Oryzias latipes: one gene and its partner. The protein of the gene in region 2 interacts with the protein of the main gene of each other region in a pairwise test. Links are inferred from orthologs where the notes say so. Each region holds a gene or a part of one and is shown on either strand. Other genes may lie near its edges.

Region 1 (3,247 bases), on a different chromosome or scaffold from region 2:
ATTCTGTGGAAAGCTACAGCGCTAAAGACGAGCTTTAGCTGGAATTTTTGTTAGAACTGAGCGACTTTACGAGCTCAATCGGGACAAGGAAGTGAAGACTTTAAGCACTTCTGATTGGTCAGACTGATGACATGTGATTCAGCCCCCCAAGAATGATTGGTGGAGACAGTTAAAAGGGCGGGACTTTTCCAAAATACAGCCGAAGCTGCAGCTGAATCGCGGTAATGTCATTCTTATCAAAATGTCTTTAATAAGATAAAATAAACGCAAAGAAAAAGTATTTAACAATATTTTATATTCCTAACTCCTCAGTGTTTTATCAGGGCCTGTTTGGATGAACAGAGAGCTGAAATCCTGGATATGGGAAAAGTTTTTAGATCAGTTAATGAGGGCAATTTCCCACGGCACACTTGACCATCTCCCACGGCACACTAGTGTGCCGCGGCACACTGGTTGAAAAACATTGGTCTAGATAATGGTAAAGTGCCTAGGATAGCACAAGGGATACAGACAACAGTTCTTGATGAAAGCTTTCATTCATGAAGCCACAGTAAAAAAACGTTTATTATAAGCTGCTTTGAGTCAAACATGCAGCACCTCAGATGGAAAACTGCTTTTTGTCTCATGAACAGCACCGCCTGCTGCTGCTCAGTCCATCTGCACTTACAAAACATCGGTTCATCAAATCCAACAGAGGGTTGGTTTATGAGACAGACATGAAGGAATGAATTATTTCATAAACACAGGCTCCGCCTTCTTCCCAGTTAAAATCATGAGGTACAAGAAAACTGATATTAAAAGAAGAGAAACAAAGAAATGAATCAGAAGTGAAAAGAAACATTTTATAATCGTCTGTCTGATCACACAGACTTTAGTTCGGAATTCATCCAACAGTACAAGGAAATCTGAAAAAGCAGAAATCGCCAGAAAATGTCTGAAACCGTGGAAGAAACCTAACGGATTCTTCCGGCGCGTCTGCAGGGCCAAACACCCTTTAATGCCGCTGCAACCTCCGGTTCGGCCGCTGAAACATTCAGTGCAGCTGCGGGAAATCTGAGGAGGCGGAGTTTACCTCGAAAACCTGAGCTGCTTTGATGCACTGGCGCCCCCTGTTGACGTCACGTGGCATCATTTGCATAATAATTTTAGGGTTGCTATGGTTACAGGTTGCTGATTCAGACTGCAGGACACTTGACTGAGGTGGTCCTTTTGTGGGTCTGAACGGTTCTGGTTGCCCTGATCGGTGCTCAGGCGGTTTTGGACCCTAAGGTGGAGCTTTGTGCGGCTCTGTCATGGAGCAAGTACTTCCACTCTCTGTTCAGAACTGACGTGCACGCTCATTCGTGCACTCTCATCCGTGTACAGATCTGTGCGCTGATCCAACCGGGCTCGTCTTCATCAGCGGCGTCAGGTCATGACGTCTGCGGTGGCGCCGCAGAGCTGGACTTTGTCGCTCGTCAGCACATGGAGATGGTGACGTTGATGCCCAGGTTCCCGCTGTCTGCAAAGAGGTGAGCGATGGAGGTGTCGAACACCAGACAGTCGCTGTTCATGATGGCGGCTGCCACGCCGTCGTGGATGGAGCGTGGCGTGGCTTCCCAGGTCAGCCGGCGTCGGTTGCCATTGAGCTCCAGGCGGTAGGCGAAGTTCTCAGCTTGTTTGCGCGTGCCGATGAGGAGGACGACGGCGAAGAACTGCTGGTGACCTTCATACTTCTCCTGCTTCTCCAGAACCAGCATGAAGTGATGGCTGAAGCACGACTGCATCATGACCCAGTCCACGGCGCCCGGCAAGTTGATGTCTGTCGCCAGGAAGACAATGTCTTCTCCCTGCAGACAGGAAGAAAGAAAGAAGACGACGGACTCAGCATGGGAGACCTTTATCCTGAAGCAGACTTCATGAGGAACAATCTGTCCTTTCTGAGGAAGTTCTAAGCTTCAGGAGTTTCAGCTGATCTGCAGTCATCTGCTCCTCGAGGGAGACGTGCTCCTGTCGGTTTAGGTCCGGCAGGTTTCTGAATGAACCTCAACTAAACAGGACCCAGAACCAGATGGTGACCAGATCCATCTGCTGCTTCAGATTAGTGCAGCAGATAGAAGGTTAAGCAGGTAAATGGCAGAAAGATGGTTCCTGAGGAAACAAACAGGGAAGTCCTCCTTCATGAATCACCACGAAGGAGGAACTTGCTGTACGTTTTGGTCTGATGTGACCTTTAAGAACAATGAAGATCTGGTCTCTTCTTCCTTCAGGCTAATGCTGAGTCAGGGATTCTCACGTTAAAAAGACATGACAGAAGCATCAGGAGTTCTCAGACCAGGATCTGCACACGGTTCTGACCTGCAGCGTGGTGATGGACTTGTGGGCGTGCATCAGGTGAGGCATGACGGCCTCCAGCGAGCCGTGCCACTTGCAGGTGGCTCCTGGACACGGACAGGTGTACGGCCGGAACTCGCACACTTCCTCGTGGTCAGGCTTCTCGCTGTGGTGCAGAGACAGCAGGCATCCGGCAGACGAGTACTGCAGAAAACAGAGCGGGCGTCAGCTGGACGCCAACATCAGGAGCCCCGGCGAAGAGCAAAGGAGCAGGAAAGATGTTCATCAGCAGATAAGCAGCTGCTGCACTTCACCAACTATTGATTATTTCACAACATTTTTCTCATTTTTAAATATCGGGAGACAAAAGAAAAATACCGACCACATCTAGTCATAATGTAGAAATGATCCTGAGATCTTAAAGTGTAAGAATTCAATCCCATCATACATTATGTACTTGATTGTACATGCTGGATGGAAAAATTAAGATGACTCATGAAAAACATCTGAAAATAACAATCTAATCTAATCTAATCTAATTATCCTCCTGAAACCTGAAGACAAAGGCCATTACATCCAGAATCCATTTAAGTGTACTCCAGTTTCCCACCATGCATTGCAACTCCAACTTCGCTTTGTTGAAAATATCCCACTCCACTGACATATTGCACACTGTTGCCACGGTAACCACAGTCAACGCTTCCATCTTTGAGATGAGGAAATAGTGATGTGGTGTCATTTTTTAAAGGAACAAGAAGCTTTTTGCACGGCAGTCATTTCTGTGTACGACTGCACGTGCACAAACTCCAGCTCTGAACCACCCAACGCAGCAGATCAAATAATCAACCAATCAGCTGAGAGCTCTGAGAGGAAGTCAGCCTCTGTAGACCAGTTAAAGGGCCAATACTATGCAAAACCTTTTGAGCTTTTACGT
Region 2 (4,303 bases):
GTAACCCCTTTTATTGAGCAACATTAATTGATAGATGTTTTACAAGGGTTTTTGATGAGTAAGAGCCGGTGACGGACATTCTTAGGCTGCGGGGGGGGGGTCCCTCTGTATTGGCGGGGGTCCCTAGTTCCGAACCTCTGCATATACTGTACAGCGTTAGAAATGGGGGGGGGGGGGGGTGTAACCTGGCAAGTAATGTTTGGTTTTCGTCCCCAATTTTTGCTTGTCCTTCGATACCAATATTCAACAGCAATGAAACCTACTCAGATGTCAGTACTTGCATCTTTATTTCTTCTATACATCTAATATCAACTGCCTCTTATGATGGACATTTGAAAAACTCTTTAAATATTAAAAACAAACTTTTTACTAAATATTGAAGCATCTGGTTACACAAAGTATTGCCAAAAACTTGAAAGTAATATCTTTATAACTAGTATCTTTACACAGATTCAAATATATTGGTTCTTTTTTCTCTCTTTGGTTTTGATAATTGTTGCTCAAAAAATATAAAATACAAAGACTGAAGTAAAAATTTATAGTATCATATAAATCCCATGGAAAAAAATTTTTTTTCAGCTCGTGTCAGTCTGTTCTGTTATGAGTGAAAGTTAAAGTGTTTTATGAATGTGTTTTAAATCTTCTGTTAATGGGCTGATTATTTTGAACTTGTTTTGGAGACCTCTAGCGGTCGCGCCAGGTACTGTTGTTCAACACCTTCCTTTGAATAATCTTTATTGAAAAGTGAAAATGTAGAAACAGAAAAGATTCGCTAGCATGCACGCACTTAGTTTGTCAGTGGAAAGAATTTGCTGCATACGTCTCAATTCAGAGGTTGCCAAAAACTAACCCTTGAAACTTGAAAAATAGTTGAAAAATACCAAAATGTTGAATAAAAGACCTGGTTGTCACACGGACAACCATCAAGTTCATTTTTGGGTTGTCCTCTGTGAAATCTGGTTGTCTCGGACAACCGGATAACCGCTTATTTCGAACGCTGAATATAACGTTTCCAATTTACACAATATTCCCAGTGATCATCATTTGACCTATTTTCAAAGCAGTGGTCTTCTAATCATTATTATGCAGATTTTAGCCTATTACTTAAACTTAAAAAAATCTGTATCCTGCCACTCTGCTGAGAGCTCTCCGTTTACATGCTTACCCCAACCTGACATTACTGGTCCAACAAATGGCGAGCAATATTGAAGCTATCCAGCCGTACAGCTTTGAGCCAGGTACCCACTCAGACCAGGAAAAACAAAGACGCTCATGAATCCGTGAATCATTTGTTAAAATCAAAAATTAATCAGAATGGAGCTGAGCAGGATGGAGCGTATTTCAACGCTTCCCCAAGTCAAATTGATATTTTTTGTCCGCTCCTGATTCACAATTTGAATAGAGAAATACTCTTGAAATAATACTTTGAGCAAAATTTTCTGTCTTACATGTCCTCCATCGTTAGAAAAAATGCCACAAATGGCCAGATAAAAAGACTTTAAAGAATTTCTCAGCTACATAAATGCTTGACTCTTACCTTTTTTGACCTCGGCGAGAACTCCATCCACTGCCGCCGCCGCCACTGCCGCTCTCTTGGCCTCTCTGCTCTCCTGGTTGGCCCTGTCCTTCTGCTTCTTCTTGCTGGAGGACACGTCCGAGCCGCTGCCTCCTCTCTGCTGAGCCCCAACGCGATGACCATCTCCGCCGCCTCCACTGCTGGCCATCTTCTGGCACTTGGCGCTGACCGGCCGCCCGTCGCTGGAATCGCTACCACTGCTGCTGGGGTCTGGATCTGAGGTGTGCCTCTTCCTGCCTGGGCCGGCTATCTTGGCGATGGTACTGATGTGATCTCCCCCAGAATTGAATCAGGAAGGTTGAGGAAAGAGGTGGGGATCTAAACGGGGGAGGGGGGGTATAAATATTAATGATTCATAACTGTAATTTAACCAAAGTTTGCTACAACAAAGCCAAGCCACGTTAGATGAGTCAGCAAACAGCCACGGGGTTGTTGCTTTAGGCCATTTGGGAGCCGGTTTCAAATGTCAACACAGAGAAGCACTGCAGCAGCCAGGACGAGGCTATAATGGTAACGGACAAAAGAAGAGTCTGAATTCGTTGCCAAAAATCACAAGACAGTCCAATTCTTCCTGTCAATATACAAAACAATGCGACTCACATGCATTTAAATAAAATATCGGGCGTCAAACAAATAATTACAACACTAAAAGAGTAAATATTAGCTAAGCTAGTAACTAGCTTAAGCAGAGGGGTTCGTTTGTTTTAGGGCATTATGTTTATGTGCCTGTCACGTGACTGTGGTCTAAAATACAAACTTACTTGAATTATATCAAACGACCTACGGAGTAAGAACGCCACACAACTGACTATATATCAGAAGCATATAATTAACATAGAATGTGGGACTATTAAGCCACAGATTCCGTCTCTCCGTGTGAAGCGCAGAACGGGTCCTGAAATCAAACGCTCCTCTCGGCAGCTATTGTCGTTAGCGGCTTGCTAGCAGCACTTGCAACGAAAACGCTCAAATTGGAGCTAAAACACTACACAACACTGGGTCAACGTAAGCTACAGACTTACCAATACGCCAAATGTAAAACTTGCTTCAAAATATAAAAATTACAGGGTAATCACGCCGTCTGAACGCACAATAGCGGCCGCCTTCGGTGCTCCTCGTCCGGCTGCTGCTGCCGCTTTGCTTCACGGCCGCGGGCCGCTTCGCACCTTCTCCGGACTGGAAACCCCAGCGGTCCGCGGTGTTTCTAGAATGTTCTACATTTAGCCGGATCCCATTTCCGTGAACTGAATGGAAATGTCTGCCGCAATTTATTTAAGAACACATTGAGGTGAGGACCTCGTTTAATCCGCGGGTGTCATTCGGCCTCTGCAGAGTAAGACGACTTTGTTGTCCCGCTGCCCGGATGGACCCGACTCAAACCGAAGCGAACCTACTTCCTGGTGGCGCTATCACGTGACCAGAACGCCTCCCTACGTTCAGAGACAGAATGAAACGGAAGACTGTTTACTTATTTCTTCTTTGTATTATTATGGGTAAATTCTATATACAGCACAGACCAAAAGTTTGGACACACCTTCTCATTCAAAGAGTTTTCTTTATTTTCATCTATGAAAATTGTATTTTCACACTGAAGGCATCAAAACTCTGAATTAACACACGTGGAATTATATACATAAAAAGTGTAAAACAACTTAAAGTATGTCATATTGTAGGTTCTTCATAGTAGCCACCTTTTGCTTAGATTACTGCTTCGCACACTCTTGGGATTCTCTTGATGAGCTTTGTAGTCACCTGAAATCCCCTGTCAGGTTTAATAAATGTAATTTCTTGCCTTATTAATGGGGTTGGGGTCATCAGTTGTGCTGTGGAGAAGTCAGGTGGATACACAGCTGATAGTCCTACTGAATAGACTGTTAAAATTTGTATTATGGCAAGAAAAAAAGCAGCTAAGTACAGAAAACCGAGTGGCCACCATTACTGTAAGAAATGAAGGTCAGTCAGTCTGAAAAATTGGGAAAACTTTAAAAGTGTCCCCAAGTGCAGTTTTTCCAATTTATAATTTTATTTAAAAACATTTTTTATTGATACTTCAAGTTTACAATGTTTAATTTCGAGTTTAAAAGTTTTTTCAAAATTTAAATTTAAAATCTCTTTTTTTTCATTCACTTTAAGCTGATGCAAAATTGACCCCATGCCAGTGTCCTTCATGTTTGTCAAATAACCTACCATAGTAACCTCTTGAAGGTAAAACCAACCTGGATCCAGGTAATTGGTAGTAAGTCAGACTTGGATTTCCAAAAACGGCCCTTGAGTCCTGGAGTCTGACATCCTGCCATTGATGTTCCACTGAATCGGTTTGTCTGTTCCATCATTTCTACAGCTGCCAACGTACCTCTTCTGTCTCACAACAGTTGTGTTCATTTGTTTTATCTCCTGGATGCTTGATAGACGTTCCATGTTCCAGCTATAAGGTATTCAAGCCTTTGTTTTCCCATTTCTCTTTCTTTCTTTTAGTATCTTCTGCTAATTTTTTTTGCCGCTTAACTTCTAAAATCGTTCAGCTATTTTAAACATTCAAATGTTCAGCTCTTTCAGCTTTTTCCAGGTATGACTGTTGTTCCTTCAAATCCTTGAGCTTTTCAAGATATTCCATGATTTTTGCCTCCATTGAAATACACGGGGAATCCTTGGTGCAGAAGCTCGCTGGTTTGATACTCGGGGCTGGCATTTTTCACAAAAATCTTTATTTATGGTCAACTTTGATCA

The links.
Region 1: the proteins of usp19 (region 2) and E3 ubiquitin-protein ligase Siah2 interact in a two-hybrid assay, tested with the Homo sapiens proteins (2 studies listed by BioGRID). The link is inferred for Oryzias latipes from reciprocal best matches to the Homo sapiens genes USP19 and SIAH2.

The regions. Positions count from the first base shown.
Region 1 is NC_019872.2:23,473,421-23,476,667, forward strand, and holds the end of E3 ubiquitin-protein ligase Siah2, read right to left. Parts: intron 2,518-3,247; coding exon 2,338-2,517; intron 1,830-2,337; coding exon 1,458-1,829; 3' UTR 537-1,457; downstream 1-536. UniProt on the Homo sapiens protein: E3 ubiquitin-protein ligase that mediates ubiquitination and subsequent proteasomal degradation of target proteins.
Region 2 is NC_019865.2:4,266,731-4,271,033, forward strand, and holds the start of usp19 (ubiquitin carboxyl-terminal hydrolase 19), read right to left. Parts: upstream 2,979-4,303; 5' UTR 2,668-2,978; exon of another isoform or gene 2,599-2,667; intron 1,895-2,598; 5' UTR 1,725-1,894; coding exon 1,538-1,724; intron 1-1,537. UniProt on the Homo sapiens protein: Deubiquitinating enzyme that regulates the degradation of various proteins by removing ubiquitin moieties, thereby preventing their proteasomal degradation. Stabilizes RNF123, which promotes CDKN1B degradation and contributes to cell proliferation.